2 linked regions of the Coturnix japonica genome follow. The protein of the gene in region 2 interacts with the protein of the main gene of each other region in a pairwise test. Links are inferred from orthologs where the notes say so. Each region holds a gene or a part of one and is shown on either strand. Other genes may lie near its edges.

Region 1 (4,328 bases), on a different chromosome or scaffold from region 2:
ACTTCAGAGGCATTAATGTACAATTAGTTCAGACAGAAAGATGCAGACATCTGCTCCCTATGATTGGCTGGGGTTGATATCATTACCTCCATTCCTTTATATAGAAAGCAACCAATGTGAAACCCTATCTACTTATCACTAATAGCTATTAAGTTACCTTGGCAATCAGACGGGGCATTTTGTAGCGATAGAACTGATCTGAAACACTGCGGTTGACGTTGACAGACATTTTGCCTTATTAGTAGCTTTATCAATAAGATGAAGAGATCTTTGATTGCAGTTTTTTGGTATCTTCTGTCTGGAGAAGACGGGATGACATAAACGACTGCAAGAGTTCTCGGTCTCTGACATGAAAAAATTTTCGCCACTGAGGCTGTAAGGTTCTTGCTTGTATGCTATGTTTCCCCAATACAGGTACCAGTGGCTGCGCAACAGCTCTGCAAACATCAACAGACAGAAAAGCAATAAGTTCATTGTAACATACACCAATAAAATCTTGCAATGCAGCTATACAAGGAACTATATTTATGGGTAGGGAAACTAAGTTCATTATTATATACCATTCTTCAGCCTGTGAAGCTGAAGACAATAGCCCTGAACTGCACTGCTGAATAGCTTTTCCTCACCTACACTACAGAACTTTAAGTTCTCTTCTACCTTACTCCCTAAAAAACAATGGGTAAATGAACAGTATTTTCTGTACAATTAACTCGCAAGACAGCTGTGATCAGTAAGAAAAGGAACACTGGCCGATTAATGAAGTCCAAGGGCTCTTACACTAAGGTCATGTGGTACGGTCCACGCTAAAGTGGAAAGGGAAGTGGGAGAAGAACACCAGACTCAATTTCTGCATCATCACATGAACCTATTAAATAAACTGCGGATTGTCAGAAAGCTGAGAAATATCCCTAAGTTGAAGCAGCAGCAATCCACAGTCCAATAGTACTATTACGTGGCTTACCAGTTTTCTGGCTCGGAGAGGAAAATTAGGTGATACTCCCTCTCACTTACAGGTTCTCATAGCAGCTTCTGTGGAGTTTTGACTTAATAATAAGCCTGATAAATCCTGACATAAACTGCTTCACTATAGAAAGCCTAGCAGCGCAGAGAGGTACAGAGCAGTGCAACAGCTTCTCCAGTTCATTTTTTTTCTCGGGGGAAGGAGGATGAATCCTGTTATTAAAGTTGCCTTAAGCAGTATTTACATATTTAAATAAACATGCGCCCCTGTAATCAGATCTAAGGTTACGTAAGCCACAACTGGTTGACTAGGCTGGCAGCCCAGCCTGCAGCGTGCTCACTTTGACACGTCACCGTGTTATCGTTAATGACACACGAGTGTTGACACATTAAAACAGACTCCTCCATGTTCCTGTGTAAGAGTGCCATTCTGTGCTCTGTTCAGGTTTACAAATCCTTCCACGAGGAGCAAACAGATTATGTGTACACTATGTATTATGTATTAGTCCCAACACAGCTTTACCCTTCTTCAGCACAAGCCGTCCTTCCTCAGAGTGGCTAAAAAAGAGCCCCCATGTGACCCGACCATGTGCCTGAGAAGCGCTGAGGAAGCAGTATGAGGAAGCAGTACCTCTGTGAGCTCGCAGAGCTAACGTGTCGCTTCCCCTCCTTCCAGCTCACGGCTTCTATCTGCGGGCTGCAGCTCCCTCCCCTGCTCCCTGGGACTCCTCCTCCCAAGCAAGCAACCCTCCCCCCCCCCAATATGCCGCACACAGAGTGGGGGAAAAAAAAAAAGAAGAGGGAGGGCAGAGCGCTCAGCAACACTCCCCGCCCCAATCGGGCCCGTGATGAGTCATAAATGCAGCAATTAAGCACTGACTCAGCCCCGGAATAGACCGGGGGGAACCTCCAACTGCGCATGCGTTCCCCAGCTCTAAAGTGGGGGGGGGGGGGATGCTCCTGTTGCTCTTCTCCCCCCATTTCCCCCCATTCCCCCCCGCTGTGGATCATTGTCCCCCTCCCCCCTCAGCCTGTATCTGCGCCACAGCTCCAACCCCCACAACCGCCCACAGCGCGGGGAGGCGCGGCCCGGCCGCCGCCATCTTGTCTCGTCGCATGGCGCAGGGGGGGGGGGGAAATATCGAGTGAAAAATAAAAAATAACGCTAAACAGCCACCGGGAACATCAAACCAACGATGGTAAGAGGTTAATGTGTCAACTCTTATCTCCTTCTCCTTCCTGGCGGGTCCCTGGTACGGCTCCTCACAGCCGCCCGTCCACCAACGGCCGCCCCAGCCCAGCCCAGCCCGCTCGCCCCTTCCCAAGGCCCAACCACCCGCTCCACCTCCACCCCCACACTCACCGTTTTCGTCCAATAAAGACATAAACCCAACGCTGCTCGCCCTGGGCTGCGATGAAGCCGAGTGTGCGATGAGAACGAGGCCGTGCGGCGCTTATAATCCGGCCGGGGGGAGGAGGCGGAGGCGGACGCCGCAGCCTCCGTGTCCGGGCGTCCTGTGACGGGCTTTATGAGCAGGGACAGCAATGCCGGACAATCTGAGGAGGAGACACAACCAGGGGCATCGTCAGCGCCGGATCCTGAGAGGAAAGGGAGGAGGAGGAGGAGGAAGGGGGAGAAGAGGGAAGGGGGGGGAGGGAGCTGCGGCGGCGGGCGCGCAGCTCGGGCAGAAGGGGGCGGTTGATGGGACCCCAGCAATGGCCGCCCCGTACTCACCTCTAGAATGTTCTCGCTCTGACTGAACAACGCCAAAGCTGGGATCAATCAGCCAGCGGCACGCCCCGCCTCCCCAGTCTTTCCATTGGCTCGCCGCTCGCCCTGGGATGAATCTATTGGCTCAGGGCCCTCCGTTCCTCTCTTTTATTGGTCAAAGCCGCTATCGATCAATCCACCCCTCGTCTCGCTTCCCTCCCCCCCCCACCCCCCCAGTGCCCCAAAGGACATCGCGTCTACAGCGGCCGGGTCTCGCGAGACTGCGCGGGATGGCGCTGCGGGGAGCGGCGGGCGCGGGGCTCAGTCAGGGCGGGGGGTCGGGGCTGAGGGGGGTGGCCGCTTCGCTCTCCTGCTGCTGAGGGGCCAACCCTGCCCTCAGCCCCTCTGCTGGGACCCTACCTGGCCTTGTGTATACCTCGAAGCTATGAGCTTTTGGGGCCTTCCCCTTTATTATTTTCCAGTCTTCTGCCTTCCCATACAATGAGAATTACGTATTTTGGATGGTTCCAAACATTCAAGGGGCAAAAAGCTTCTGAAAACTCAATCATTAAGGTTGGAAAAGGCCACTAAGATCATCTAAATCAGCCCTGCCCCATCACCTACTAAGTGTCCTTCACAACCAACCCTCCATCAGCTCTTAGTGCTTTAAGGACTGCCAGGCAGCGCCACAAGGCCCCAGTTCCTATGGCTGTGTCTTACAGCAGATATACAGCTGAGGAATATGATTTAGCCTGGAAGTATTGGTGATGGTTGGACTAGATGATCTTCTTTTCCAAACTTGATAATTCTGTGATTCTGTGATATTCTTCACCATCTTCCTACAAGACCCTCCTACATCATCTGCATCATCACTGCTGCCCTACTTATAGGTTTCCTTTCAGCCCATGCGATAGCACATCCTTGTAGGCAGGATGATGTCCTGTAAAACACTTTGTAAGCCTGGTTTGGACTTGGAGCTACTGAAAAATGTAACAGGTTATTTTAAATGCTTCCTTGAGAAACACACAGCAGCGCCTCTTTAAACATGAGAAAGAGGGTTAGTGCGAAACAAGGGAATAACTCTCCCAAGGATATGAGGTTTGGCAGTTATCACGAGGGGAAAAAATCATCATAAAGATGTGGGAGGCAAGAAAAGCACAGCAGGAACTCCTTAGCTGTAAAAATATGCAGCGTGCATAACTTACTAAATGCCTCCTTTCTGTGGCTTTACTGACATGCTACTACACCTCTGAGGTTAATAAATTGCAAGTGTTAAAGCATATTGCTGCCAACACCACTTTATTGAACAGCAGAAGGGAAACGAGCCCCTGGAACTGGTGCTGCTTGACACCATGAATAACTGAGCAGTTATGATTAGTAGCGTAAAGAGGGATTTCTACAATTTGATGGTGCATAATCTGACATCAAGTTAAGAGTTACCTTTTCAGATGGTATCCGTACTGCCAAAAGCAGAACCCATGCAGGAAAGTTAGAATATACTCTCTTGCATTATAGAAAACAGACTACAATGGTAGATTATTGTCTCCTTGGTACCTAGCTTTTCCTTCCTGTTTGAAGGAAGTTTTCAGCAGTGGATATTAATTAGAGTGTGTGTTTCCTTATCACAGAAATGCTTTGTTGTAGCTCAGTTCAGCCT
Region 2 (4,106 bases):
GGAAGTCTCAAGCTCTGTCCTGGCAAACCCAGGGTAGCTGGAATTTGTCTGTGGTCATTCAGAGATCCATTGAAAGAGGCTCTGAGTTCAGGTTTTGGCAGCGGGGAAGTTACCAACTGACAGAGTTCTCGCTTCATCTACTCGACTTTTGTGTATCTGGAAGGCAGGGGTCACCCAGTGGCCACAAGAACACTGCTCACCCCACCAGCTAAAGGAACCCAGCTTAGATGTGCATTTGGGACACAGAAGCTGCAAGAAAAACAAATAATCCATTGTAAGATACATGCAGATGTATTCTATGGTACATTAAGCTACAGCAACCTGCACTAAAGCCAGCACTTGTAGCATTTCACAGAAGTTAAACAGTCTGAAAAACAGGACAAAGAAAAACACCAAAAAACAACAGCTGTATAGGCACAGCTGGAGCTTGCCAATGCCCCAGTGTGTGACAGGCAGCTGTGCTAGCAGAAGGGAAGACATGGAAATGCAGCTGCTCAGACCTGGTGTGGTTCCAGAACACTTGCCAGTCTCAGACATCAGAAAGCCTTGGTCAGCATAAGACCAAAATGGATTTTTATATGTCTCATAATCCAATATACTAAAAACAACCAAAACCTGTCAAATATCCTTCCTAGCATACTCAATCCAACAAGATCACCAGCTCACTTCCTTATACAGGGATATTCTAACATTTGAGAACCTGTTCATAAGCTGCAAAGCTGATGCAGGAGAGGCTGGGAGACCTAGGATGTTGCGTGGGGGCCTTCGCATCAAGGAACAGCAACAGTTTGTTTTACCTCAGCTAAGATATCCAAAAAATGCATTCACCTGTCCTTCTGTTACTCCTAGCAGTGCTGGCTCCATCCACTGCACAGGCTCAATGAAGTAAGAGGTGCACTTAGCAGGGCCACTGCCACGAAGATGCATAGACTCCGTTATTCTCTTGTGAGCAAAGGCTGTTGGTCCACTTCCTTCCATGTGGGACAAAATGCTGGAGCTACGGAACAAAGCGCGCCTGTTCTCCGTGACAAGAGGGGGAAAAAGGGTGAAACACTTATTGGTGAAGCTTAGAGAGCACAGGGACAAGGACCTTATCTTTCCATAGGCAGGCACTGACTCCATTTAGGGCTGCATCTTAACAAATCTTACAATCTGCATAGCCCTGGGCTCTGCTTTACCACTGTATGCTACAATATATGACTGCAGAGCAAGCAGTATCATGTATTCAAGCAAAACTACACCCGCCTGCGTAATGTGGCAAGTTAGGGTGCACGAGTGCTGCACAACTTTGAGTTTTGTATTTCATCATGTATTTGTGCTTGTTTAATTGCTGTGACATGCGTTGTAGGGAAACTTACACAAGATCTTATCCCTGTTCCAGAAATAACGACACGGCCTCTGATTGACACAGGTTATTTTCCTCTCAAGATCATTTCAAAGTGACATTTTGTGGGAAATACAAAAGGTTCAGTACCTGCATTTCCTGCATCTATAGAGAACTTCTGTGTTTGGAGTCTGGTGTGTGTTGGTTGGATCAACAGCAAAGACTTCTTGGGGTAAGTCTTGAAGATCTGCAGAGGGGACAGAGTTGTAAGTCAGACTGATAAAGGCACTGATGTCCCATGCTGTCCTCATGCAGCACACCAGACACAAGGGGTCTATCTGATCCACAGCCAGTTGAATACAGCTACAAGCCACAGCAGCAGGGCTCAGAGGTCATGGATCACGGCATATAACTTAAGACTGGGAACTGTCAGAATTTAAAGCAGCTGCACATCAGAAAGTGGGCGCCTGGTGCTGTCCAATGCAGCATGAAGCAGACCGCATGGCTGCCATGGGCACATCTGCATGTGAGCACTTAGTACCCTGCTCAGGAGCAAGCAGTAGGACTCACAGAATCGTCTGAGCTGGAAGGGGCCTTTGAAGGACATCCAGTCCCTACCCCCTGCAGTGTACAGGGACATCTGCAGCTCCATCACATTGCTCATACCAGCTCCATTCTGACCTCGAACATCTCTAAGGACGGGGCACCCACCACCTCCCTGGGCATCCTGCCTCATCCCAAGCTCAGGGCTCAGTAACACGGTGTGGCTTTTGGACAAGGCATCCCCAAGCTGCCCCACTCACCGGAGAACCTCTCCGTGAGCACCTGCAGGCGATGCTGCTTGTACAGGGCACTGCTGCTGTCCACGACACAGCCCATGGCCTCGTATAGCTTCAGCTGCCTCTGGAAGCCCGGGTTCACCCTGCGGTACGGGAGAGGAGAGCAAGCTGAGACCGGGCCCGTCCGGCTGGGGGTGCCGGGTTAGGGGCACTCACTCAGCGTCGGGTTTAGCGGCCCTGACGGCGGCGTAGGCCTCCTCCCAGCCGAGCCCCTGGGTCTTCATCAGGTACGCGGTCACCACGGCCACGCTGCGGCTCACTCCGGCCTGGCTGCGGGCGAAAGGCGGAGACGAAGCGATGGCTTAGAGCAGCTCGGGGCGGCCGGCCCCAACACACCACACCGCACCACCAACCCCGACCCTCACCACCGCACGAGGACGGCCCCGCCGCCCGCCCGCGCCGCGCCGATGAAGGCAGCGCACTCATCCAGGCGGCTCAGCAGGTCGGCGCCGGGCTCGTCCAGCGCCCGGATGTACAAGGACTGCAACCCCGGCACCGGAGGCGGCTCCTCCGCGTCCACCGTCAGCACCGCCATCACCCCGGCCGCCTCCAGCGCCTTCGAGGACGAGCACGACTCCGCGCCGCCCACGTAAAGCCCCGGCAGCACCGGCACCATCCCGCCGCCCCGGCTACGGCTCCGGTCCCGCCCATAATGGCGGCTTCCGGCGGTCCCAAGAAGGGGGAGGTTCACAGAATCACACAGTATCACAGAATGACCCGGGTTGGAAGGGACCTCAAGGATCATGTAGTTCCAACCCCCCTGCCTGGCAGGGCCACCAAACATACACATTTACTAGATCAGGTTGCACAGGGCCCCGTCCAACCTGGTCTTGAACACCTCAGCCCAACAGCCAGTAGAGGCAGCGTGGAGCTCCAGCCCTTTGCTGGCAGAGCAGTGTGGGAAGCTGAAGTGTCCTTGGCTCTCTGCAGCGCTACAACTAAAACATACATGTGTTATCAACGCTATTCTCATCCTAAATCCAAAGCACAAGCTGCTGGGAAGAAAATAATCCCAGCCAAAAGTGGGACGCTCTCATAGATGAGAACACGGTGTGTTAGCAGGATACCTGTGCAAAACATTGCCATGCAACACATTTACAGCTTGAAGTGAGATGTAACTAACAGTTGCAGCAAAATACTATGGTGAAACATTGAGTTATTCAAGTCTTGAGGGGTTGAATAAAGTCAGCAGGCGAGTACACCTTAGTGAAGGGACTATGTGTTTGATGGCAGGGACATATTGTACAGGGATTGGATGAGTACTAAGAGGTGGTTAATTGTGTCTGTGGGCCTTCAAATGTGAATTTGTGGGGGTGAACAGTAGCATCTGTGACTGTTTTTGCAATGACGAAAGCGACAGACAGAGTTGAGGCGCAGAAGGGAGTGGTGTGGTGCATCAATTCCCAGAGCTGGGGATGCTGGGGGAACATGAAAAACCTACAACTTCAAAGTGAATATCTGTGGTGGGGGAAAGCCCCTGGGCAGCTCTTTGTGTCTGGGGTTGTGCTCCCTAAACAATGCAGCCGTTTCTCTTCGCCTCCCTTTGCTGTGCTTGCCACCTGTAGCTTGAGCATATGGCGATGGATCCCGAGTTTGCTCACAGCTCTCAAAATAGAGTCAATATTGTTTTCGGTTTGATTGAACCTTCCCCACCCACCTCTGCCTCCCCCCTCTTCGGTTTTTGTCTTCTCCTACGCCACTGAAATTTCTAACCGTTTGTTCTCCCCCGGATTCTGGGAAACTGTGTGAGTAATGAAGCAAGCTCAGGTGCAAAGCAAAACAAACTGGAGGGCAGACTGCTGCCCACTGCCTCCAGTAAGAATGTTCCATCTCAGCATGTGCTGCAAGGGAGGGCCTGGGCCTTCATGGAAAGGAAAATCCTTGTGTACACATGAACTATTTCATGAGAAGAAGAGTCTGCAGCCTGTAGATGACACGTGGCA

What was found.
Region 1: the proteins of DUSP12 (region 2) and EIF5 interact in binary tests that used the Homo sapiens proteins (3 or more experiments, as listed by UniProt). The two-hybrid records come from large-scale screens. The link is inferred for Coturnix japonica from reciprocal best matches to the Homo sapiens genes DUSP12 and EIF5.

Annotation. Positions count from the first base shown.
Region 1 is NC_029520.1:45,677,757-45,682,084, reverse strand, and holds the start of EIF5 (eukaryotic translation initiation factor 5), read right to left. Parts: upstream 2,823-4,328; 5' UTR 2,696-2,822; intron 2,518-2,695; 5' UTR 2,324-2,517; intron 438-2,323; 5' UTR 230-437; coding exon 158-229; intron 1-157.
Region 2 is NC_029516.1:70,998,979-71,003,084, reverse strand, and holds the start of DUSP12 (dual specificity protein phosphatase 12), read right to left. Parts: upstream 2,836-4,106; 5' UTR 2,780-2,835; coding exon 2,529-2,779; intron 2,434-2,528; coding exon 2,320-2,433; intron 2,247-2,319; coding exon 2,128-2,246; intron 1,572-2,127; coding exon 1,475-1,571; intron 1,016-1,474; coding exon 829-1,015; intron 250-828; coding exon 88-249; 3' UTR 1-87. UniProt on the Homo sapiens protein: Dual specificity phosphatase; can dephosphorylate both phosphotyrosine and phosphoserine or phosphothreonine residues. Can dephosphorylate glucokinase (in vitro).